Linked DNA regions of Kluyveromyces lactis. The protein of the gene in region 4 binds, or shares a complex with, the protein of the main gene of each other region. Links are inferred from orthologs where the notes say so. Each region holds a gene or a part of one and is shown on either strand. Other genes may lie near its edges. The genes, in order: CDC3, CDC12, SHS1, KLLA0_C01650g, NAP1, CDC11 and CDC10.

What was found.
Region 1: KLLA0_C01650g (region 4) and CDC3 share a complex: the UniProt entries of both Saccharomyces cerevisiae proteins name them as parts of the GIN4 complex. The link is inferred for Kluyveromyces lactis from reciprocal best matches to the Saccharomyces cerevisiae genes GIN4 and CDC3.
Region 2: KLLA0_C01650g (region 4) and CDC12 share a complex: the UniProt entries of both Saccharomyces cerevisiae proteins name them as parts of the GIN4 complex. The link is inferred for Kluyveromyces lactis from reciprocal best matches to the Saccharomyces cerevisiae genes GIN4 and CDC12.
Region 3: KLLA0_C01650g (region 4) and SHS1 share a complex: the UniProt entries of both Saccharomyces cerevisiae proteins name them as parts of the GIN4 complex. The link is inferred for Kluyveromyces lactis from reciprocal best matches to the Saccharomyces cerevisiae genes GIN4 and SHS1.
Region 5: KLLA0_C01650g (region 4) and NAP1 share a complex: the UniProt entries of both Saccharomyces cerevisiae proteins name them as parts of the GIN4 complex. The link is inferred for Kluyveromyces lactis from reciprocal best matches to the Saccharomyces cerevisiae genes GIN4 and NAP1.
Region 6: KLLA0_C01650g (region 4) and CDC11 share a complex: the UniProt entries of both Saccharomyces cerevisiae proteins name them as parts of the GIN4 complex. The link is inferred for Kluyveromyces lactis from reciprocal best matches to the Saccharomyces cerevisiae genes GIN4 and CDC11.
Region 7: KLLA0_C01650g (region 4) and CDC10 share a complex: the UniProt entries of both Saccharomyces cerevisiae proteins name them as parts of the GIN4 complex. The link is inferred for Kluyveromyces lactis from reciprocal best matches to the Saccharomyces cerevisiae genes GIN4 and CDC10.

Annotation. Positions count from the first base shown.
Region 1 is NC_006040.1:348,291-351,684, forward strand, and holds CDC3 (septin CDC3), read right to left. Parts: upstream 1,989-3,394; coding exon 501-1,988; downstream 1-500. Other genes in the region: HIF1 (Hif1p), read left to right, coding at 2,686-3,394. UniProt on the Saccharomyces cerevisiae protein: Septins are GTPases involved in cytokinesis that assemble early in the cell cycle as a patch at the incipient bud site and form a ring approximate 15 minutes before bud emergence, which transforms into an hour-glass shaped collar of cortical filaments that spans both sides of the mother-bud neck.
Region 2 is NC_006041.1:1,924,713-1,927,745, reverse strand, and holds CDC12 (septin CDC12), read right to left. Parts: upstream 1,686-3,033; coding exon 501-1,685; downstream 1-500. Other genes in the region: KLLA0_E21605g (thioredoxin-disulfide reductase), read left to right, coding at 1-59; TRP4 (anthranilate phosphoribosyltransferase), read left to right, coding at 2,165-3,033. UniProt on the Saccharomyces cerevisiae protein: Septins are GTPases involved in cytokinesis that assemble early in the cell cycle as a patch at the incipient bud site and form a ring approximate 15 minutes before bud emergence, which transforms into an hour-glass shaped collar of cortical filaments that spans both sides of the mother-bud neck.
Region 3 is NC_006042.1:1,938,519-1,941,844, reverse strand, and holds SHS1 (septin SHS1), read right to left. Parts: upstream 2,157-3,326; coding exon 501-2,156; downstream 1-500. Other genes in the region: GCR2 (Gcr2p), read left to right, coding at 3,009-3,326. UniProt on the Saccharomyces cerevisiae protein: Septins are GTPases involved in cytokinesis that assemble early in the cell cycle as a patch at the incipient bud site and form a ring approximately 15 minutes before bud emergence, which transforms into an hour-glass shaped collar of cortical filaments that spans both sides of the mother-bud neck.
Region 4 is NC_006039.1:126,689-130,918, reverse strand, and holds the start of KLLA0_C01650g (uncharacterized protein), read right to left. Parts: upstream 2,801-4,230; coding exon 1-2,800. Other genes in the region: SUMO family protein SMT3, read right to left, coding at 3,696-3,977. UniProt on the Saccharomyces cerevisiae protein: Serine/threonine-protein kinase which regulates the localization and the function of the septins during mitosis. Phosphorylates SHS1.
Region 5 is NC_006041.1:1,342,743-1,345,837, forward strand, and holds NAP1 (histone chaperone NAP1), read right to left. Parts: upstream 1,755-3,095; coding exon 501-1,754; downstream 1-500. Other genes in the region: ribulose-phosphate 3-epimerase RPE1, read left to right, coding at 2,338-3,051. UniProt on the Saccharomyces cerevisiae protein: Acidic protein, which assembles histones into an octamer (in vitro). Involved in the regulation of the localization and the function of the septins during mitosis. Involved in the function of B-type cyclins.
Region 6 is NC_006038.1:1,258,307-1,261,380, forward strand, and holds CDC11 (septin CDC11), read right to left. Parts: upstream 1,764-3,074; coding exon 501-1,763; downstream 1-500. Other genes in the region: TRP3 (bifunctional anthranilate synthase/indole-3-glycerol-phosphate synthase), read left to right, coding at 2,420-3,074. UniProt on the Saccharomyces cerevisiae protein: Septins are GTPases involved in cytokinesis that assemble early in the cell cycle as a patch at the incipient bud site and form a ring approximate 15 minutes before bud emergence, which transforms into an hour-glass shaped collar of cortical filaments that spans both sides of the mother-bud neck.
Region 7 is NC_006042.1:1,182,910-1,185,744, forward strand, and holds CDC10 (septin CDC10), read left to right. Parts: upstream 1-1,321; coding exon 1,322-2,335; downstream 2,336-2,835. Other genes in the region: MRPL32 (mitochondrial 54S ribosomal protein bL32m), read right to left, coding at 221-778. UniProt on the Saccharomyces cerevisiae protein: Septins are GTPases involved in cytokinesis that assemble early in the cell cycle as a patch at the incipient bud site and form a ring approximate 15 minutes before bud emergence, which transforms into an hour-glass shaped collar of cortical filaments that spans both sides of the mother-bud neck.

The DNA.
Region 1 (3,394 bases), on a different chromosome or scaffold from region 4:
TTTCGAGAGATTTATGCTGAACGCTTACATATTATCATACTGAGTTGCACTTACTACATCCACATACATATTTCTTTACCTTTATTGACTTTCCTTTTTTTTTTTCCCTCTTGGGCTTTAGTAAAAGAGTCGAGTACAGCAGTAATCTCTCAACGACCGAAAGCGACAGAAAAAAGGCAAGTCGAAATCTCCCTACTAAACTGTGCGAATTACCTTGATTTAACCGCATTAACAGACCCACAAAATTTACGTTAGTTGTGTCGCAGCTAGCTGGGCACTTAACCGTTTTGCTTTGTTACATGTACTGTATGGTGATGCATTACACTCGTTGACATTGTGTTGATTAGTTAGCTTCAGCTGGCTTAGTTATTGAGATTCGTAGTTATACATTTAGATAAAAGATAGACGGATGTAAAGAAAATAAAGACATGTCTGGAGATCTTGTGAAATACAGATGAAGTTCACGAAGACTATACTATATTTATCATCTTACTCATTTCTTAACGTAAGAAGCCTTTCTTCTTAGCAGGAATTGGAGAGCTTGTTGGTTGGTTAGCAAGGGAAAGTTCAAGTTGACGCTTCTTTTCTTCTAACGCTTTTAGTTGGCTTGTAAGCTTATCCTTCAATTCCTTGTGTCTAGCGAACAATTCAGCTTCAGATTTCTGTAACTTCTTTTCCTTTTCTTCAACTTTCTGTTGGAATACTGCCTTCATTTCAGCTTCCAATTTAGCTAGTTTGACTTCGTGTAGTTGTTTTTCCTCCTTTTGTCTAGTTTCTGGATCGAAATTCTTGAAGACACTGTTGTCTTGTTTGATACCCAATCCTAATAGCTTTTCAGATCTATATTTTTCGTATAATACTTTGTTAGTCCTTTCGCGTAATTCTTCCAAGTATTGTCTAATTAATAGATCTCTTAAATATACAAAATCAGAATGTTTTGTGTTGTCAACTTCGATGACACCCCATGGGTAAGCCCTACCTCTAACTTTTCTACCGTCTTCTGTAGTGACTTGTTCAGTGGAACCGACAATGGCAAAAGGAATCTTTTCAAAGATGTTTTCAGTTGAAGTTTCATCTCCCAGCATAGAATATTGAGGTGGTTCAAACAACTGCACGTTGGCTTGTTCTAGTTGTTTCTTGATGGTGGCTTTGAAAGTGACAATTTCTTCGTCAGTTAAGATGTCAGATTTGGCGATAACGGGGATCAAGTTACATTTGGAATGAACCTGCTTGCAGAATTCCAAATCCAACGGCTTCAAACCATGACCAGTAGGTTCGATAAAGTAGAGACAAGCATGAATCCTGTTATCTTGCAAAGTAGTTCTTTGAATCTTGTTTTCAGACTCGAGATATTGGTCGAATCTACGATTTATTTCATCCACAATTGGCTTCCATGAATCTGTGTTATCAATAGAATCACCAAATCCTGGTGCATCAACCACGGTCAATTGCAATTTCACTCCATTTTCTTCGATTTCAGCTGAAACGGTTTCGATCTTGACTTTGTTTTCTTCTGCTGGACCGTTTTCACCATTTTCCTTCTTGACACTGACATCGTTGCCATTACCATCACCCAAATCTAAAGACTGTACTCCATGGGATAGAGCGTCTTGCTCGTACAACTCTCTGTTGAACAACGTATTTATCAACGTAGATTTACCCAACCCTTTGTAACCAACACATAACAAATTCAGGTTGAATCCACGACGAATTGACTTTCTATGCCATTGTTTGGGTAAATTAGCAAAGCCCACGTATCCATTGATGATACGACGAACAACCTTGAGGTTTGGCTGATCGGGCAAAACTTGGCCCAATGTACCATTTGATTCTTGCACAGCTGGCGCGATTTCATCACCATTTGCATCTGAAAAAGTCTGCTCAACATTGTTGTCTTGATTCACGCTGTCCAATCCAGTAGCTACGGAGTCCTCATGCTTCAATGAAATAGCTTCTGACTTGACTGTATCGTTAATAACTTCTGCCATTGTGGATAATAATATTTTCCAGTTTTCTTTCACACACTGCTATGGTTGTTGGCTAGCCTGATATTCAATGCACTCCTAAACCGAGGCTTTTAAACAACTTTCAAAGTAAGACTTGACACCTGTGTATGCTGTTGATCCAGATCAAAACCGAATTTACGTGTATAAAATTATAAATAATAAACCAGATAATCTACTCGATTTAAATTTCTATATTTGTGGTTTAGGTTTTAAATCGCGTTCTTTGTAAATTTCTTCGAGACATCGATCTGTCAATATAGAAAAGGAAGAAAAGAAGCAAAAATAAGATACTGAATAGGCACAGAAATAAGAAGTACATACAGACGTAAAACTACTTTAAGCAAGTCTCCTTTAGTTGATTTGGCTTCAATATCATCTGCCCTATTTTTGGATGTATATATTGGCTAGTATTTACGGCCTTTGTCTTTTTCTTTCAGTGTAGAGTCCATTGCAATGGAACGGTATTCAAGCAAGGTGTTTTAGATTCGAGGCGTAAGAATTCCTAAGTCACGTGTCAACAGTTACCCGGTTATTGTAAATTTACACAAGTTTTAAATCAATCACGTGATTTGGATTCACCGGTTTGATTTCTTTGATAACGACATGTATTTTAAGCAATTGCGCAATGCGATGAATATTACGCGTCTCTGTGCATTATTTAAATTGTTTGCGTGTTTTAATGATTGCTGCTGTTAGCAATCACACACTGCAAATCAATTGTTTAACAATTTCAGTCCATTATCGTAGAATTGAATCTAAAATGTCGGACAAGTTTGATAAATTATTGACAGAAGGAGCCAAGCACTATGCTGGTAAGAATTATGAACTTGCAGTCGATTCTTATGCAGATTTAAATCAATTGTATGACAGTGAGAATGAGAATCCAAACCCTGAATATTTGTTTTTGTATGGTAAGGCATTGTACCAATTGGCTTTGAGCAGGTCTGATGTCTTTGGTATGGGATCTAATGTTAAGAGGGATGAACATAACGAAGAACAAGACGAAGATGATTCTGCCTCGAAAGGACCTGGGCTGATTCAATTTGGTGAAGAAGAAGAAGAAGAAGAGGAGGAGGAAGAGGAAGAGGAAGAGGAAGAGGAAGAGGAGGAGGAGGAGGAGGAGGAGGAAGAGGAAGAGGAAGAACAAAAACAAGATCAGGAGCAAGAGGAAGAAGATCAAGTCGAAGGCCAAGAGGAAGTTGACAAAGATGATTTCGAAAACGCATGGGAGATTCTAGAGCTTGCAAGGTCATACTATGAATCCAGTTTGAAAGAAACACCAGACAACGAGGATCTAAAATTAAAACTATCTGAATGTTATGACCTGTTGGGTGAAGTCTCACTAGAATGCGAAAATTTCTCTCAGGCTTCTCATGATTTCGAAGAAT
Region 2 (3,033 bases), on a different chromosome or scaffold from region 4:
CTGGTTCCGGTTGTATGGCTGCTTTGGATGCTGAAAAGTACATCACTGAATTAGAATAGATACACATTGATAAATTTGGTGAGATTCCCATATCAAAGCTTTGATATTATGTCTATATCTTATATATAAATATCATCGCGACTACTCCTTTAATTGAAATTTATGTTTGTTCCTAGTTTCTCAGCAGGAGGAAGATTTTCTTTCATTAGTCTATAAGGCTCACCTTTCCACCGCTAGTCCAATATCTTCTATACTCTCCCTTCCGAGTAGAGAAAAAAAGAATAAATAATGATAACATATCATCTTTACAGCTTATATTGATATATAGGAAAGATCAATAGAAAGTAGTTTAAAATAACAACTGTGTGGACATCGTTCTACAAGGTTCAGAAATGGCATTATTCAATGAGAATAATGTGAGAATGGAAAATAACATAAAAATTGGGTTGTTAAAAGGAATATAAATGGGAATGAAAAAAACAATTTCGAACCATTACACCCTAGCGTTTTCTTAATTTCAATGTGGCCACTTGATCTTCTAATTTCTTTACTTCGGCTTGAATCTTTTCCAAATCACCGTTCAGTTTAATTCTTTCATTCACAATGTTTTGTTCCCACTGTCTGAATCTTTGTTCTTCGGCCTTAACTTGATCAGTGAAGTATTTTTTTAGTGCGTTTTCTTCTTCTTTGAACTTTGGATTATGTGATAATTTTCTTGCTGGTGCAGCAACGAAGTTGTTCGCCGATTTTTCTCCTAGTTCGTTATCGTTAGACGATCCATTCAAATGAGATTCCAAACGTAATCTCCTATAGGTTTCGTAATGTAGCTCTTGAGTGGATAAGACAAGATCTAACAGATTTGTTCTCAACAACAACGATCTCAATTTGCGGAAATCACAGTGTTGATCATTCTCTACTTCCACTAACCCCCATGGATATTTTCTTGCAACAACTTTGGTACCACTACCGTTATCGAATTGTTCTTCTGAACCAACAATTGCAAATGGCATGGATTCAATTAGTTGTCTAGCATGTTCCATAGCGGCTGCATCATCCTGTGTCTCATTCAAAGGTGGTGTAAAGATACGAATCTCTTGTGCCTCAATGACCTGTCTAATTCTAAGCTTGAAATCTTGTAATTCCTGACTTGTCAAAGTATCAGCCTTGGCGATTACGGGAATTAAGTTAGCACGAGTGCTGATCCTCTTCATAGTTTCAATATCCAATGGTTTCAAACCATGTCCTGTAGGTCTGATAAAGTACAGTACAGCGTGTACTCTTAGATCAAATTTCACATCTCTGTATGGTTGTTGTTCTTGACGCATATAGGAATCGTGTTGATCGTCTATAAAATCAATGATCTGTTGCCACGATTTATCGTTATTGATGTTGTCACCAAACCCGGGAGTATCAATTACATTCACCTTCAAGGTAAAATTCTTCTCCTCTAGTTCTGCACGTAATATATCAATCTCCACGGTCTTCCTAATTGGCCCTTGCATCGAACGGCCTGTATGGGAGTCAGATGGCTTCAATGTTGCCTGGAACAACGTATTTATGAAGGTAGTTTTACCCAAACCACTTTCACCGCATGTTAACAAGGTGAATACTCCACCTTGTTTGGATACCAGCTTGTAGATCTGATTTGGTAAATTCGAGATTCCTACAAATTCTTCCGTGGTCATTGTTTCAAAGTTCCGTTGCAATTAATTGGTACCAATTATACTATCTTTTGCTGAAGCACACAATGTTATATTTGCTAATGAACAGAAGGTCAGATTGTTACTGCAGGTAGCTACGATAACTCCTGTAAACAAACTGTAATTCCAATTTCAATTTTAATATAGGCTTGTTTTAGCCAGTATTCTATATTTGAACAAAGTTTCGAATTGTTTCGTGTCGAGGAATCCTAGGTTCCCAGGAACATTTCAGAGATCTCTCGAGCAAAGAAGGGTAGGGTAATGAGAAGCGAGTCACGTGCTTTCCAATGTATATTCTGTTATTTCTCGAACCGTGGATCTATATAGTCATTAACATATATCAAACTGGTACATAGAAAGATAATCACTTTGCGTTAAATAACGGCAAATCTACTCTCACTGCTAAGTAGTGCCTTCCTACCTTTAAGGTATCGCTGTGTTACCAGCTTCTACATTTTGTAACTATGAGTATTATTTCCTTTACGAAGAAGCTTTTGAAGAGCCCGCCTAGTTTGACTCCTGCAGAATTGCACGAAGTTATCGTTTACATAATTGATACGCTATCGAAGGAATTTACTGTGGAAGCTGTGGTACCGATTGCCTCTTTCCTTTCAGTGTTGAGAGCAACTGGATTGGATCACAAAGCTGAATATATTGCAGCTGCTGCCTCGGCTGTGTTGAAGTTTTCAACTGTTGTCGATTCAACGACCTTGACTCATACTGATGATATTGTCTTAGATATCGTCGGTACAGGTGGTGACGGCCAAAACACTTTTAACGTGTCTACTTCTGCAGCCATTGTCGCTTCGGGCATCCCAGGCTTGAAGGTTTGTAAACATGGTGGGAAAGCATCGACTTCCAATTCAGGTGCTGGTGATTTGATCGGAGTTTTAGGTTGTGATTCATCTAAGGTGACTGCGTCGACTTTACCTAAAATTTGGGATGAAAATTCGTTCACATTTCTATTGGCTCCTTATTTCCATGACGGTATGAAACATGTCGCTCTGCTCAGGAAAGCATTGGGTATCCCAACAATATTTAATGTCTTGGGACCGTTATTGCATCCTGTATCCCATGTTCAAAAAAGAGTTCTAGGTGTCTTCTCCAAGGAATTGGCACCTGAGTATGCAGAAGCAGCAAGACTTATCTATCCTGACAGTGAAACATTCGTCGTTTGGGGTGAAGTTGGTCTCGATGAAGTATCACCTGTAGGGAACACTATTGTTTGGCATGTGACCTTGAATGGTACCGTCGAATCATTCTCTATAAACCCGTCAGATTTCGGTTTACAAGAGCATACTCTTGCAGAATGCCCATCGTTGGGCCCTCGCGA
Region 3 (3,326 bases), on a different chromosome or scaffold from region 4:
ATTCGGTTAAATCTCTTTTCCTATTATTTCCCCCAGTGCCTTTTCTCATCGTCGCTGAATGAATGTTGTTTCTTGATGTTTTTAATTGCCATCGGGAACATTATTTTGCATTTTTCGGTTTTCTTAGTTCTCTCCAGTTACACTAGCTATTTTTTATCTTGAAGCACTGGATGAACATAAATTTTTCACCAATCTTTTTTATCTCATAATACTATGTCATCTGAACAGATAAATTCCATTTATTGATAAGTGGCACGAAAATACCTTAACTCATTATTATATTATATATATATATATACCTGTAACAGTACGTATATTTTTCTGATTTTTACATCACCATCTTAAACTCATCAAATTTGGAAACAGGTAGCAGATCAATCTAGACGTGACCGTTTGCAATATACAAAATAATCAATATTGTTTAAATTACATATGAAATCGTTTCAGGAACCAAACACTTCGACTTACAAAAATGCCAAAGAAAGATATCAAGACTGAATTCATTCTTTTTTGCTGATTATCGAAGCTAAATCGTTATAGGTTTCCTCTTTCTTAATGTAAGCACCTCCAGAAGTTGAATTTTGTTTAGTTGTATTAGTCTGGATAGATTCTTGAGATTGACTATGTGAGTTTTGTCTTAGTAGCTTTTCCTTCATCTTCAATTCAATAGCCTTTCTTTCAAGTTCTTGAATTCTCTTTTGTAACTCTTTGGCAGATTGTGCCTCCAATTCTTCAAGCTTTTGTTTCCTTGCTACTATGCGCTCGTGCTGAAGCATGTATGGGATATTTTCGGAAATATTCCGTAACTTTGTTCTTTCTGGAGAAGTTTGAATATTGGCAGGAGTAGATTTCTGTGAACTGGCAGAGATTGAAGCGCGAGACTCATCTCCTTCATCTACCCCGGTTAGACGTGGTGTAGATGGGGTTTCAGATTGAGGTGGAATTGCAAGTGATTGTTGAGACTTAAACTTTCCTGTATTTATTAGAGAGGCGAAATTTGACAAGGATGGAGCTGTACTGTTTCTAGTCAACCCTTTCATCAACCCTGAAGAATTACCCTCATTGTTTTCGTCATTGATAGAAGTATCTATAACTTCGTTGTTTTCAATGTCCCAGGCTGGCACAGACGCCAATTTCTCAGCACGGTAGTTTTCATACAACAGATTTTGTGTCGTGTCCTTAAACTCTTGCAAATGGGACCCGAAGAGAACCCTTTTCAACAATTTCAAGTCCGAAATGTTTTCATTATCGATGTCAATTTTACCCCATGGATACTCACGATAGTATTTACCGGTAGCATTATCGCGTTGGTCGGCGCAGATAATAGCAAACGGCTGAAGTCTCGCTAATGCCTTGTTCTCTTCAATTGTTTCTAGATCATCCTCATTTTCGTCAACTTCGAATTTGTAGATAGGAACGTTAAATCTATCAATGTCTTCCATAATTCTCTTCTTGAACCTAGTCAATTCATCAGGTGTGAACGAATCTGCTCTAGCGACAATTGGTAGAACATTTGTGTAGCGGGATAGTCTCTTCATAATTTCAACATCCAATTCACGTAACCCATGTCCCGTGGGTTCAATAAAGTATAACGCGACATGAACTCTTGTATCCTGGAACCTTGGATTTCTCTTGATTCTGGTCTCCTCAGCGAGTACCGAATCAAATTGTTGCTCCAAATATGAAGCAATCTCATCGAAACAGATCCCATTATTTAAGTTTTCACCCAGTCCCAGGGTGTCGGTGAGAAAGAAATTGATCTTTTCAGGGGTAGCGCTATCGATATCCTCACTAGATTTCGTCGTGATCTCCAGGGCAGTAGACGTCACAGTGATACCTGGTTCCAAAAACGGCGAGGCTGGATCAAATGCCGACATGTAGCTGGGAATACCGTTCATCGAATTGAACGTGACAACCTTAGTTGGTTGGATAATCTTAACATTCTCGTTATTCGTGCTAGCTGGAACATCTTGTTGATATCTATGAGGGAAAATGGTAGATTCCAATAAATTGTTAGCGAAAGTGGTCTTACCAGTACCAGAAGCACCAACCAACATCATCGAGAAAGTAATACCTCTCTTCTCCTTCTTTCTACGGAACACACTGACCCCATTGTTGCTTGGTGAGAATACCTGAGATACAGGACTAGCGGACATCTTTTTATTGCTTCCAAGATCAAACGGCTTCACTTTTCACTTCCAATTATATTCTAAATAGAATCGCCAAAGTACAATGATTCCTATCCAATTGATTGAAACTCGTCTCGTTCAATGGTTCACTTGATTAATGTAGCTCTGCAACGTATAGAATACACTTTTTTTATCAAAAGACGTTGTTGTTTCAGTCAAATTACATTCTCGTCTAAATTTAAATATGGAATTGATATCTTTTACGTGATATTAACCGTTTCGAAACTTTTCACCGATTAAAAGGCTCGAACATAGCCATGGGAAATGAGACACTCAAAGATACCTAAGGCAAGGACAAAAGTTACCAGTGACATGGGAACATCAAATGGTTACAGTTCGATGAACCACATATCGTAACTAGTCTATGTATTGGGGAACTAAGGCATATATACATATATATGGCGCCACTTCTTCACGTGACTTATATTTCTGTCTCAGTGATGTGAATGTATATGTCCGTCAGTGGATTACGTTATAAGTTGATAACGATCTTCGATCTAGGTCCGGCTAGCTTTGGTACTGCCTTGGTCTACATATGAAAGGCTTCGGATTTTAGCCCTTGCAGAAGGGCTCTATGTGTTCAATGAGATGCGTCTTTGTTTTGCAATTTTGTCGCTTTTAGTTCTTGCTAGAACATAAGGTGATGCAATGTGGAAATGTTGCACCTTAACGAAACGAAAGATAGAGAGAAAGAGAGAAAGAAATACACAGTAAGCGAGAAAATCTGCGGAAGCGGCAGCATACTTAAGGTCTTTGAACTGCTTGTTACGGACTTCAAAGATCGGCCCTCCCCTGCTACGTACACATACTGGAAGAGCCATGTCTGATATCGGGAGCACTTCACATAGTAGTCCGACAGGCATCATGCATCATCAGATCAAGCTCGACGTATTTTTGATCAAGGGTTACCAATTGATATCCAACGGAGAAGTCTTGGAGCTTCCCGAGCTATTGAATTCCACGATTAGTCCGAATCAGCAATCTCCTATATCGCTGAAACCCTTGGACGAACGTCATATGCAATATTTCCAAAGTCTCTCACAACTTTACGATGCTCTAGTGACAATCGTACCCTTAGATGAACAATCGAACGTACCCAAATCAAATATCGAATTGTTTCAGCGATTTCAACAGATA
Region 4 (4,230 bases):
TTGTTTTGTGGGGCTTTTGTGTCTGATCGTTTGGCTGGTAAATGCCAAGCCCTAATGCTCCATTCTCGTCGGCTACGTCATGAGATACCTGCAATGGAGGTAACGACGGCAAGTTAATATCCTTATCATTAGTACTTTGTTTTCTGGCATCAGTAGATTCCTTTCTGGCGGCAGAAGCTAGTTTTCCTTCCTCTGTTTCTGGTACTTCGAACAGCTTAGAATTTTCATCAAGCTCTTCAACGGTCTCAAACATGAATTCTGGTTCCTGTGCAACCTTGGATGATGAGTATTCAGGTTGGCCAGGTAGAGGTTCAAGATAATTATCGTTCTTCAAATGATCCACAAGGTTCGTGAATGAAGTCTTAGTTGAATACAGTGACAATACAGAAAATCTTTTGTTAGAGGAAGAGAAATGTTTTGACCTCCTTGTAAATTGTGGAACTTTGACTTCTGAGAGCTTTCTGGGTTCAACTTCGTCATCTCTGAGAGTTGCAACTGCTTTAGCATTCTTGGGTAACTTTTGAACCTCGTACTTTGCAGTCTGTTCAGAGTACTTTCTCAATTGTTCTTGTCTCTCTTTAGATACTAAATCCTTTTGGGCTTTCTCTAATTCAACGTTCAAGTTAAATTGCGATCCAAGGAATTTGGAGCGTCTAATGGTTTCCAGAATAGTCTTTTCCTTTGACGCTTGGTCATCTTCTAGGTTAGCTGACAGTCTACTTTCAGCAGCTATGATACCAGGGTCAAGTCTGGAAACTGGTCTCGTTTGTAGAGAGAAGTTTCTTGTATTGATTAGTTCATTGATGTCATTCTTTATACCGAATGTACTATCTCTTTTGTTTGCAGTTCTATCGGTCTCTATCGGAGCAGAGACAGATCTTCCATTGGCTGTGTTTCTTTCATCCGAGCTCCCCTGAACAGCTTCATATTCCGCCTTGAGCTTAGCAATTTCGTCTTCCATTTGGTCTTGCAATTCCTTCTGTCTTTCAGCTCGCTTTCGTTCTTCTCTTTCAAGTCTTTCTTGCTCCTCCCGCTCGATCCTTTCCCGTTCCTTTCTTTCAGCTTCCTCCTTCTCACGAGCTTCGTTGACTTTTCTTTCCAACTCTTCCTTCTCTTTCCGTATTTGTTCGTATTTCTCATGCTCGAAAATCTGATCCATCAATGTAGCAAAGTCCTGACTTGTCCTTTTCGTTTCCTTTTCGATGTATTCCCATTCACTGTCTTCGGAAAGTTTTGCATACGTTGCAATCAGTTTCGTTGTTATAGATCCACGCTTCATATTAGGCAGTAGAGAGAATCTTTTGGATTGTCTCTTTGATTGTCTTTTGTAGTCACGAAGCATTTCTTTAGGGACGGGTGGAGCTGCACTATCGTTTATCCTGGAAACTCTTTTATGAGCAGCAGGGGTTGGAGAAGACGAATTGGAGACTAGCTGTGAAATTCTCTTGTTTGAAGGGAAAGTCTTACTCAAACGTTTACCTATTGAGCCGTTTTTCACTGGTGAGCTATGTTGGCTACTCAGTTTTTGCATTGATACAGGTCTTTTGTGAGAAGATGAGGCAACTATGATTGATGTTCTTTTCTTCTTTGGAGTGGTGACTGGGGAATCAGATTTATTAGGAGATGGTAAAGATCCAACGTACATCAGCGAATTCGAAGAGACAGATTGTTTCTTTTGTAATTCTTGTTGCTTCAATTGATCTTGGTAATTATCGTGTTTAAATCTATGCAGTAAAGCGTAAAAAGTCTTTTCTAAATTAGCACCAGGTTCCATCAACTTCGTAATAATGTCTTCCTTATTTCTACCATGCCATAGAACAACCAAATTCTGCAAAATAGTTTCATCTACGCATTGATTTCCTCCTTCTAATGATAGTGGATTCAAATAGGTATCTTCTCGAGGTAAGTTTCTAATGGATTTAGAGTCCTTAATGCTTGGGTATTTTCTTAGAAGTGGATGCTTTAGGATCTCTCTTGTCTTGATTCTTTGTTCTGGATCTACTGTTAAGATTCTGGCGATTAAATCTTGGGCTTCCGATGATATTTCATCATCTCCAGGCATTTCAAATTTCCCACTTTGAACCTTTAACAAGAGATTTCTGATATTGCCATCTTCTTCATCAAATGGCAACCTACCGGTCAGTAAAGCGTAAAGAATAACACCACATGACCAAACATCGGATTCAAAACCGTGATATGGCAAGCCCGAGACAATTTCGGGTGCCGCGTAATGAGGCGAACCACAACTAGTTTCCAGTAATTTATCTTTTGATTCTAGTGCTGCCATACCGAAATCGGCTAGTTTGACATTGAATTTATGGTCTAATAAAAGATTTTCAGGCTTCAAATCACGATGAACTATACCTAACGCATGGCAGTAAGAAATACCGATAATTATCTGTCTGAAAAATCTGACTGCCTCATTCTCAGGTAATGGGCCCCTTTCCACCAACAAGTTGAATAACTCACCTTTTTCAACGTACTCTAAAACCATATATAAATCTTTTGAAGTTTCCCAAACATCGTATAATCTCAAGACATTAGGATGATTCAACAACTTCATAATGATAATTTCACGTTCAATACCATAGGGTAAGACATCAGGATCGTTACCACCAATCATTGTCGACCCTTGAGCGTTGAATATTGATTTTGATATAATTTTCACAGCGGCTTGTTGTCCTTTAGTTTCATTATAGGCCATTACGACTTTACCTGTTGAGCCAACACCCAGTGTCGAGCCCAACTTCCACGGGCCAATTGTGTCACCCTTTAACGTCGTTATTCCGTTACCGTTCATTTCTGATATATTGTGATAGTATTGGCCAAGCTACAAGTTATAATGTTCCCCAGTCGCGTAAAGGTTTGAATGATAATTTCTTATGAGAATGAATGTGGTGTAATATATCGTTTTTATCAGAGTGAGATTCGCTTGCCTAGATAAATAACTCTCTATGTCTGATATCTGGTACCGTCTAGTGAATTCAATTGGTCGTGGTTGAAGATGGTTGAAGTGAATTGAAATTATTTTTTTCACGATAACTTTTATGGTTTAATCTACTTCCAGTTTTATGTGATGAGCCTTGTCTCAATTTCTCAGTATTTCCCTCAGGTACAATTTTCACCAAAGAAAAACACAATTAAACTTCACGTCTTGGTATATATGTATGCCAAATAACAATGGAAGAAAAAACCTACCAAATTCAAAACGAGTGTGGCAGAAAACTATTAACAAGACAGCTAATATTTCTTCCACTTCTGGTAAATTATTCTTTCTAAAATCATTTACTGTAACAGTTATACTAATTGAAAAGAATGTTCACCATACTAGGAAGGAAAATGACTTGAAAAAAAAAAGACCTAAAAACGCGAAACTTGAAGCAAACCTAGCTTTTCGAATCGAAATAGGAATACAAGGGTGGTAATTTGCAGGAGGTCTGTTATAAGCCCTGCCATTTGATACCCAATCTCTTTTTTCTTTCCATTCGGATTTCATTTCTAATTCCATACCGACTGTTTTCCCTGGGGAAATGCAGATAAGCTTGCGGGCACTTTTCTTGTTGTTCATCCAAAGTAGTTTTAATATTCCAGATACATAGTCAGTTATTATAACATTAGATAGGTTACATTGAAAGATAAAAAAGGATGGGAATGCTGTAGTTGATCCCACTTACTGCTGCAAAGTACACTCCCAATTACAAACTACCACCAATTTGCTCTCTGTGAGCTTCAATGATATCGTTATCTTCCATGTCCAAATCTTCAGGGGTCTGATCTGGTAACACACGCACACCGTCGTAAAGGAATCTTAGGGATTCAATCTCTTTACCTTGTCTCTTAGCAAATGCCTCCATTAATCTTTTTAATGGAGTGGTCTTTTTGATCTTGAAGAAGATCTCACTGGATCCATCCGAAACCTTCAAGTTAATATGTGTTTCTGGCTTAACATCCACCTTTTGTTCTTGTTCTTCTGACATTTCAAACTGTGGTTATATATATAGGCGTTGAAGAATGGAGAAACAGGATTCAATGAATGTTTAAAGACTCGCTTTTTCTTCTTCTAACTCTCGGCAGTATAGATTGAGCTTTTGTTTGTTAAGGTAATTTGTATTGTTGAACTAATTCCTGGCCAAAAAAAAAAAATACTGTAGTCCTGAAATTCGACTGTCAACTGACATGGAAAAGAGCTCTAACAAAAAGCAGTTTCCTTCTTCCTTTTGAGAGCATGAA
Region 5 (3,095 bases), on a different chromosome or scaffold from region 4:
AGATCAGATATGTTTCTAGATCCACGGATTATTTCGTGCCTTGCCAGTAGTCTTGTCACCATTCCTTGCTATTACCCAAAAAGTAAGCAATAAACAGACTTGCTCCCTATGTACTTTCATTCGTAATCTGCTCGTAGTTCTTTTTGCTATACACTTTTGCTGTCTTTAGGGCTCTTAGTTGTGCCTTTTCAGCCCATTTTTCTTACTGGTAACGGGGCCTTCAGGGGTTCAGACCGTTAGACCGTTACTTCCGTTTGACTTTGACACCACATGATGTGCATGTCCAGACCTTATGGCCATATATTTCCACCTGCTTAAAATAAGAACAGGTGGAAAACCGCGCACAAATTGTATGCATGCCAGGCACCGTCCGTATCTGGAACATGCGTTGAGTAGATTGATGCAAGGCCACAGCTTAGGGTGATGTTTAGATAGAGAGTAAATACTTTTGATAACCACTGCTTACTATATATCGGTGGATGTGAAAAAAAAAATCTCTTTCAGGATTGCTCGCATTCTGGAGGTTGGACTTTCTTCAGAGCATCTTTATTAGCGAAGTCGTCCTCTTCTTCCTCTTCTTCACCGTCCTGATCGTCAAATTCATCGTCGTCTTCTTCTTGTTCATCGCCGTATTCTAATTCTAGTGCTGCACCGGTGAACCAATCCACTGCCCTTGGAATCAACTTGTCCTTGATCTCTTCACCGATAGCATAATCTACAGCCAATCTACTCTCAAGTTCAGCGATTTCTTCTTCGTCAAGATCGTCTTCTTCTTCGGGATCCAGAGACTTTGGTGGGTCAAAGAAGTTGAAGAACGATTCCACTGGTGTCAGCTTTTCAATGGTACGAATTTGTTTAGTAGTCTTGTTCTTTTGTTTTCGTCTTTTCACTTCGACTGTAACGTTATGGTCATTATCGACCCAGTTAATGGTTTCACCCTCTGCATGGTCATAGATGAAGTCGCCAGAGTAACCCAATTCGGACTGGTAGTAGTATGTCTTTGTTAAAGTTTCGTTAGTGAAGAATTCGTTCTCTTTATCGAAGGTGAAAATCAATTGGAAGCCTGGTTTACCCTCAGTTAGATACTCTAGAGTGATGTTCGTCAAGTATGTCAATACATCACAGTCAGCTTCTGTCACGTTTTGAGAAACCATTGGTAAGTTCTCCATGGCTGTCAACCAGAAACAAGGGACACCAACGATCTCTTCCTCACCTTCCTCCGGTTCCTGGTCATGCTCTTCTTCTTCATGCTCATCTTCACCATCCAAAGATCCCCCGCGTTTGATTTCTTCTTCAGTGGCTTCCTTATCACCTGTGATCAACTCGTAACGGTGTTCGTGTAATGGTTTGTATTTCTGCAGATATTTTTGTTCAAGTTCCAACATTTCAAGCTGGAAATTCTTCTCCAATTCGAACAAATCGGACTGAATAGCCTTTAAGGCTAAGATCCTATTGTTCACAGCTTTTGGGAGTCTTTCGAAAGCTTCTTCATCGCCTTCTTCCTCTTCCTCTTCTTCTTCTTCTTCACCCTCATCTTCTTCGTCTATGTTCAAGAACTCCAACTTTTCATTGATCCGGGATAAAGATGGACTCTCGTTGTATTCGCTATCGTCATCCTGATCTTGATCCTGGTCAGACTGCTGCTGTTGCTTCTTCCTTAAATATGAATCCTTAAGCACGCTAGCTGGTGTGTTATGAGGCGTTGGTGCATTATCGATCTTACTCGACCTCGATGTCTTGATAGGGTTGGACATTTTTATGATGTGATCCTTACTATTTTGCCAAATACACTCAAATGTATACAGCTAATGTAGTTCAAATATCCTGCTGCAACACTCCAAGTATCACAAATAGCCCACTACCTCTACGATCAGATGTTCCAAGCTGTTACGTTTCCTACTGAAAGAAAATTTTCTGGCTAAAAAATGCTCTTCTTATATATTCCTTACATATTAAAATAGATCACGGAAGCATGCAAATACTGCAACCGTATGCCAATTCAAAGGACTAAATCGTACCAATTCCTGGTAAAAAAACTCGGAATAAAGCACTCCTGATATCAACGGTACATTATATAATGAATCTTGAGCTGTAAAATACTCTGAAGTAATCCTGATCCCCTCTTCTTTCTCTCAATAGTCGCTTTCTTTGGATATCAGAATTTCAGTTTTATAAAGAATGCAATAAAATTAGAAAAAGCAGCAGGGAATTCTTTTCAAACAAGAACCAACTACCCAATTAACGGTCTGCTCTGCTCATTATAGAATACGATTTACCATTACCTGTTCGAGTTTAAGGTCAGCAGTTTACAAAACTATAATAAGTTTCAATTTTAACATGGTTCGTGCTATTATTGCCCCATCTATTCTAGCCAGTGATTTCACTAAATTAGGTTGTGAATGTCACAATGTGATTAACTCTGGTGCCGATTGGTTACACATCGATATTATGGATGGTCACTTCGTTCCTAATATGTCATTGGGACAACCGGTTGTCGAATCGCTACGTAAAGTTATCGGAAAGTACAACGATCCAGACACCAAGTTACCAAGAGCATTCTTCGATTGTCATATGATGGTTAGTGAACCTGAAAGATGGGTCGAAGATTTTGCTAGGATCGGTTGCGATCAGTTCACATTCCATTACGAGGCTACAAAGGACCCGGTAGCGTTGGTTAAGCTAATTAAGAAGCATGGTATGAAGGCTGCCTGTTCTGTGAAGCCAGGTACCCCTGTGGATGTGTTGTACGAGTTGGCACCATCCCTGGATATGGCTCTTGTAATGACTGTCGAACCGGGTTTCGGTGGCCAAAAATTCATGGCCGATATGATGAGCAAAGTGAAGGACTTGAGAACTAGATTTCCTAATTTGAACATTCAAGTCGATGGTGGTCTTGGTAAACAGAATGTCGAACTTGCTGCCGAGGCAGGTGCCAATGTCATTGTTGCCGGTACCTCTGTGTTCCGCGCGCACGACCCAGCAGATGTCATTGGATTTATGAAAACCAAGGTCAATGATGCATTAGTGACCAAAGGTTTATACGAAAAGTAGTAAGTACCTAAGTACATATACGCACTCTTTTTTATGTCAGAATA
Region 6 (3,074 bases), on a different chromosome or scaffold from region 4:
AAAACTGGGCAATTAAAAGACTTTCCTCGTCACTTAAACGAATATCTGTTGTCCCTATCTGGTTACTCATCATCTAAAAGCTTTTCCATCCCACATCTTCATACATGATGTTTTCTTGTCAGAACACGGCACACGCCTCCTGGCATGCTGTGTGAGATAATGTAAAGGAGATTTACTAGGTCATGGTACACCTGGTATCCCTGGTACCCCTGGTACTACCCATTTGGTGCTCAGAAGCCATCCTTCTACCGTCTTTTTCGTCTTATTTTCGGCCTCGAAGTAAGTGGCTTTTATATGGTTTTCGTTCGGGAATTTTTTTCTTAAATGAATGAGGTTTTGCTTGATCGTTAGGGCATCGATAAAGTGTAGCACACGACTAGCAGCCAGTAGCCTGAAATGGTTCGTAATGCTTTATCTATCTTATGGTAATAACTGAGGTATAGGTTAAAGAAAGAAACGAAATATGTAGTTCTATTTAGTGTGCAGGAAGGGACAACAACTTATTGTTCCAATTTGATTCCTTCCTGTTTCAATTGGGCTTCCTTTTCTAGCCTCTCTTCGATTTCTCTTAATTCTTGCTCTCTTTGCAGCAATTCCTGTCTCTTCAATTGCAATTCTTGTTGCACTCTTTCTTCGAAAACCCTTAATCTTTCTTCTTCTAGCTTGATTTGTTCTTCTCTTGCCAAGTAAGTGTCCTGGTTCGATGACGCGTTGTTAGAATGTAAAGAAGTCGAATCATTGTTCCCCAACGCAGATGGTAATCCATTGCCCCTCACAGATTCTCTACCAGATACAGCGGGTGATCCTAGGTATTCGTTGTTCGTGGTGCTGAAAGCTCTGTTATGAGTCGTAGTTCCTACAGTTGGCATCTCACCGGACAAGGCTTCAGTTCTGTATCTTTCGTATAGGATCTCATGAGTAAATTCCTTCATATCGTGTAAATGTGAAATGAGTAGAGTGTTCCTTAGGACGACGAAATCAGAGATGTTAGCATCCTCGACGTCAAGGGTTCCCCATGGATATTTTCTACCACGAATCACGGACCCGTCTGCAGATTCAAACACATCGTTGGAACCGATGATAGAGAAGGGCAGTAAACCTCTGAGATATGTGTTTGTTTGATAATCTTCGTCTGACGCGTCTTCCTCATCGAATGGGAAGTTGTAGATAGGTAGCGAATAATAGTCGATATCCTTTGCGATCAATTTCTTGTTCAATTTCAACTCTTCAGCGGTCAAGGAATCTGCTTTACTGATAACGGGGATCACGTTCACTAGAGTACCTAGTCTTCTGATGAATTCCACGTCAATCTCTTTCAATCCATGTCCAGTAGGATTGATCAAATATAAACAACAATGCACCCTACCATCTTTAAACCGAGGATTTCTCCTTACACGGCTCTCTTCCAACAAAATTTCATCGTACTGGTGACGAATGTAATCAGAGATAATGTCAAACGATGGAGAATTATCCAAAGAGTCGCCGAATCCCGGAGTATCAATGATATTCAATTGGATCTTAAGACCTTCTTCGTCTTCTAACTCAACGATTTCTTCCCTCAATTGCACATCAATCTGCGTATTTGTGTCCGTTGGTAACATAATCGTGGTAGAAGTATCTACCACTTTCTGTCCACATAGAGTGTTAATGAACGTCGACCTACCGCACCCAGACTGACCAACAACCATCACCGTGAACTGAATTCCTCTCTTCAAGTTCTTCCGTTTACGCAAAGCGGCAGATGCCTGAATAATACTTGCCATTTCTGTCTAAATTACAATTGTAGCAGTGCTTTTGTTTCCCAATTCAATACCCCGACAGAAATTAGGTGCTAATAAGACCTCTGAGCAGCTCTTCTGTTAATTGTGTTGTTTACGTGTTAGTTGTTTGTTTAAAGTTTCACGTTTCCGATCTGATTCTAAATTCGTTACTCTGAGGAATCTGGAATTTAGTATGGAGGAAACAGAGAAAGAGTAGGTATTCGACGGTGAAAGAGCATTTGATGGATGATAGAGGGGCTCAGCTAATTGAACAGAGGTTATAGATTGTTACTTGGAAGTCAGATTACGGAATAATCAATCCAGCGATGCACAATTGCCTTAAGAATGTGGATTTGAATGTTGACACATCCGTACATCACATACATATTTATCATTTAGGACGAAATTCGATTCAATTTCTCATTTCATCAAAGCTTTCTCTTGACTCATCTCGAATTGTGATGTGGAACCAGTTAATCATCTCATGTTCAAGACGATTTTATATTTAAAGGAACCCTTAAAGGGCATTGAAATAATTGTAAGAAGAAACTTTCGATAATTTCTTATCGATTGGTTATATTTGGTTGATAATTATCTAGTAGGGCAACTACACTATACTGTGATAAAAAGGAACTAGGTTTTCGCATTAATTTGATATCATGTCCGCTAAAAGAGTTGTTTTGATCGATAACTACGATTCGTTCACCTGGAACATCTATGAATATCTTTGCACTGAGGGTGCTGAAGTTTTAGTTTTCAGAAATGATAAGATTACTGTGGAAGAAGTTGAAGCATTGAACCCTGATATTGTCATGATTTCACCGGGTCCAGGTCATCCAGAGACCGATTCCGGGATATCAAGAGACTGTATCGCATTCTTCTGCGGCAAAGTCCCTGTGTTTGGTGTCTGCATGGGTCAGCAATGTATGTTTGATGTCTTTGGCGGTGAAGTTAGCTTTGCTGGAGAAATTGTTCATGGTAAGACTTCACCAATATTCCATGATGGAAAAGGTTTCTTTAGAAAAGTACCTCAAGGTGTCGCAGTGACGCGGTACCATTCGCTTGCTGGCGCCAAGGAAACACTTCCTGATGTGCTTGAAGTTAGTGCAAGAACGGAGACTGGAATTATTATGGGTGTGAGACATAAGAAATACACTGTGGAAGGTGTGCAATTCCATCCAGAATCTATCTTGACCGAGAGTGGGCATCAAATGATCAAGAATATTCTTGAAGTATCAGGAGGTACTTGGGATGAGAACGCAGCTAACTTGGCTAGGAATGAGCTCGGAAAGACAGCCAGCACTGATAAAGCGA
Region 7 (2,835 bases), on a different chromosome or scaffold from region 4:
TGTGATTTGATTCTATGTAGAGTTGATTGTGATGAGATAATGAATCTAACTATTACTACAGGAGGTGAATGCTGACACTGAAATAACCTGCTAAAATCTGGGACGTGTATTCGACATATATATACAAGGTGATGGGGGGATTGAACTTGATAAAAGGTTGTTTTTTTTTAGTCATTTCCGCCGATGTGTTATTTTGTACTGGATTCAATGAGAAGAGGGTTTAATGTGATCCTTCTTTCTTCTCAGATCTCTCCACTGGCAGAGTTTTCATACGTCTCTCCAAATAAGCATCCTTGTCCTTCAGTTTCTTTGTGTATTCAGTTTCTTTTCTACCAGGATACAAGATACGCTTGTCCAATTCAGACAACTCTTGTTCTTGAATAGGCTCCACTTGTTCAACGTTAGTGTGAGCCTTCCAGATGTGACGGATTTCACCCACACAATGCATACATAGCGTATGTGCCTTCTTGTAATGCCCACATGAAGGGCATTTGTTCAAATGGTTGATCATTTTCAGCTGTTTGTCTCCAGGCGCATATAACTTTTGTCTCTTCTTCTGATGCGACACTTTCTTCTTGGGCACAGCTAGAAGGATCCCGTTATTCGTAAAGTAATCCGCTTGAGGTGAAGACTTTTCACGTTGGTTTCTTTCAAGCAATTCCAGCAGTTTCTGTGGCAATGCAGTACCAGCTGCTGGAGTGCTCCAACGAGGCAATATTGATGTCGCTGTTTCCAGCAACACTCTGCTAAAAGATTCCGTTACAGCTCCAAAAGACATCCTCTAATTATTTTCGCTGCTGGTATGATACTATGATGAAGAGGAGAAAGGATAAGTTCAATCGATAGGGACAGATACTAGTTTCTCTAGGTCGCTCGTCTAACTCTGTTTGAACTTCGTCAATTCAAATTGGTATTGACGAATTGGATTATAAGAAAGAATTTTCAACATTACCCTGATTTGGTGATGATCTGTGTCCCTTTTTCGATTTCGATGAAAAAGACGAAAAATCACAAAAACTAAAAATGGAACTCGAAACGAAATAAGTGTGTCAACAAAATATAAGTAAGGAATCAGATCTTGTATTCTTTAGAATAAGTAAGATTGTGATTACTTTTTTTTGACGTTTCTGTGGTTAATTGCTACTCATTGTTTGAATTTTTGTTATTGCGGTTAATTGTTTTTATAACTTAGAGGTTTTTCATTATTTTAACTTCCAAACACTAAAACACGTAAAGCTTTGATCATTTGGATTTGACTTATATACATCTCTACTACGCGAAAGGAATTATTAAAGGTAAAATACACGCATAAACAAAAACAATGGCATCTAGTACTGCTGCAGCTGGTATGACTTCTTCTTCTGATGGGTTGGCTTTGGTAAATCCATCTTCTTATGTTGGGTTTGATTCGATTACTTCACAGATTGAACATCGTTTGTTGAAGAGAGGATTTCAATTCAACGTTATGGTCGTTGGACATTCTGGTCTGGGTAAGAGTACTTTGATCAACACTTTGTTTGCATCTCACTTGGTTGATTCTTCTACTGGTAAGGACATCACTCAGGAACCAATTAGTAAGACCACCGAGATCAAGGTTTCAACACATTCTTTATTGGAAGACCGTGTACGTTTGAACGTGAACGTGATTGACACTCCAGGTTTTGGTGACCAGATAAATAACGACAAAGTTTGGGAACCTATTGTCAAGTACATCAAGGAGCAACACTCTCAATATTTACGTAAAGAGTTGACTGCTCAACGTGAAAGACACATTGTAGACACTCGAGTACATGCAGTGTTATATTTCATCCAACCTAACGGTAAGGGTCTAACAGAACTTGACGTTGCTGCTTTGAAGAGATTGACAGAAATCGCTAATGTTATCCCGGTGATCGCTAAAGCTGATACTTTGACGTTGAATGAGAGAGCTAACTTCAGAAACATCTTACAAGAAGAATTTAAAAAGTACAATTTCAGAATCTATCCATATGATTTAGACGATCTGACCGATGAAGAAGTGGAACTGAATAAAAGTATAAGATCTATTATTCCATTTGCCGTTGTAGGATCTGAAAAGGAGATTACAGTGAACGGTGAACTAGTAAGAGGAAGAAAAACTCGTTGGGGTGCCATCAATGTCGAAGACATCAACCAATGTGAGTTCGTATATTTAAGAGAATTTTTGATCAGGACACACTTGCAAGATTTGATTGAGACTACAGCTTTGATCCACTACGAAAGTTTCAGATCCAAGCAATTGATTGCTTTGAAGGAGAACGCCAACGCTAGAACTTCTGCACACATGTCTCAGACATCAACAACAATGCTGCGTTAATAGGTGGAAAAAAGAGCCGGGAAGACTTCTAGAAGAAACGGCGTCTTTATTTCAAAAAAATGTAGCGTTTTACCGGTACGCAAGAGCTGTGCCAATTATTTTTTTTGTGTTCTTCACTGGTTTGAATCCTGCCCTAGTAAAATGTCGCTTCATTTCCATATATCTTATTGATAATTGGTAATGTCTCTCTATTTCTACTTGTCAAACGTCTCTTAATCTCTTTTTTATATATCACATTCTCTTTTTAGGATTTATAAACCCCATTAGTTAACTATAATACTACATCACGTATAACCAACTGGTAATTAAAGTCTAAGAAATTGGACGGTGCTGTTGTCCTCCCATTTTTGTACTGAGCAGATGTATGCGAATAAATTAGTGTAGACAAGCTCCAGAGTAATCTACAATGTATCATCACTGCATATTAGTGTCTACATGAAGACATTCAGTGTTTAAATTTTATTCCAGATACTAAAATGTTCTATTTTGTCATATCCTCT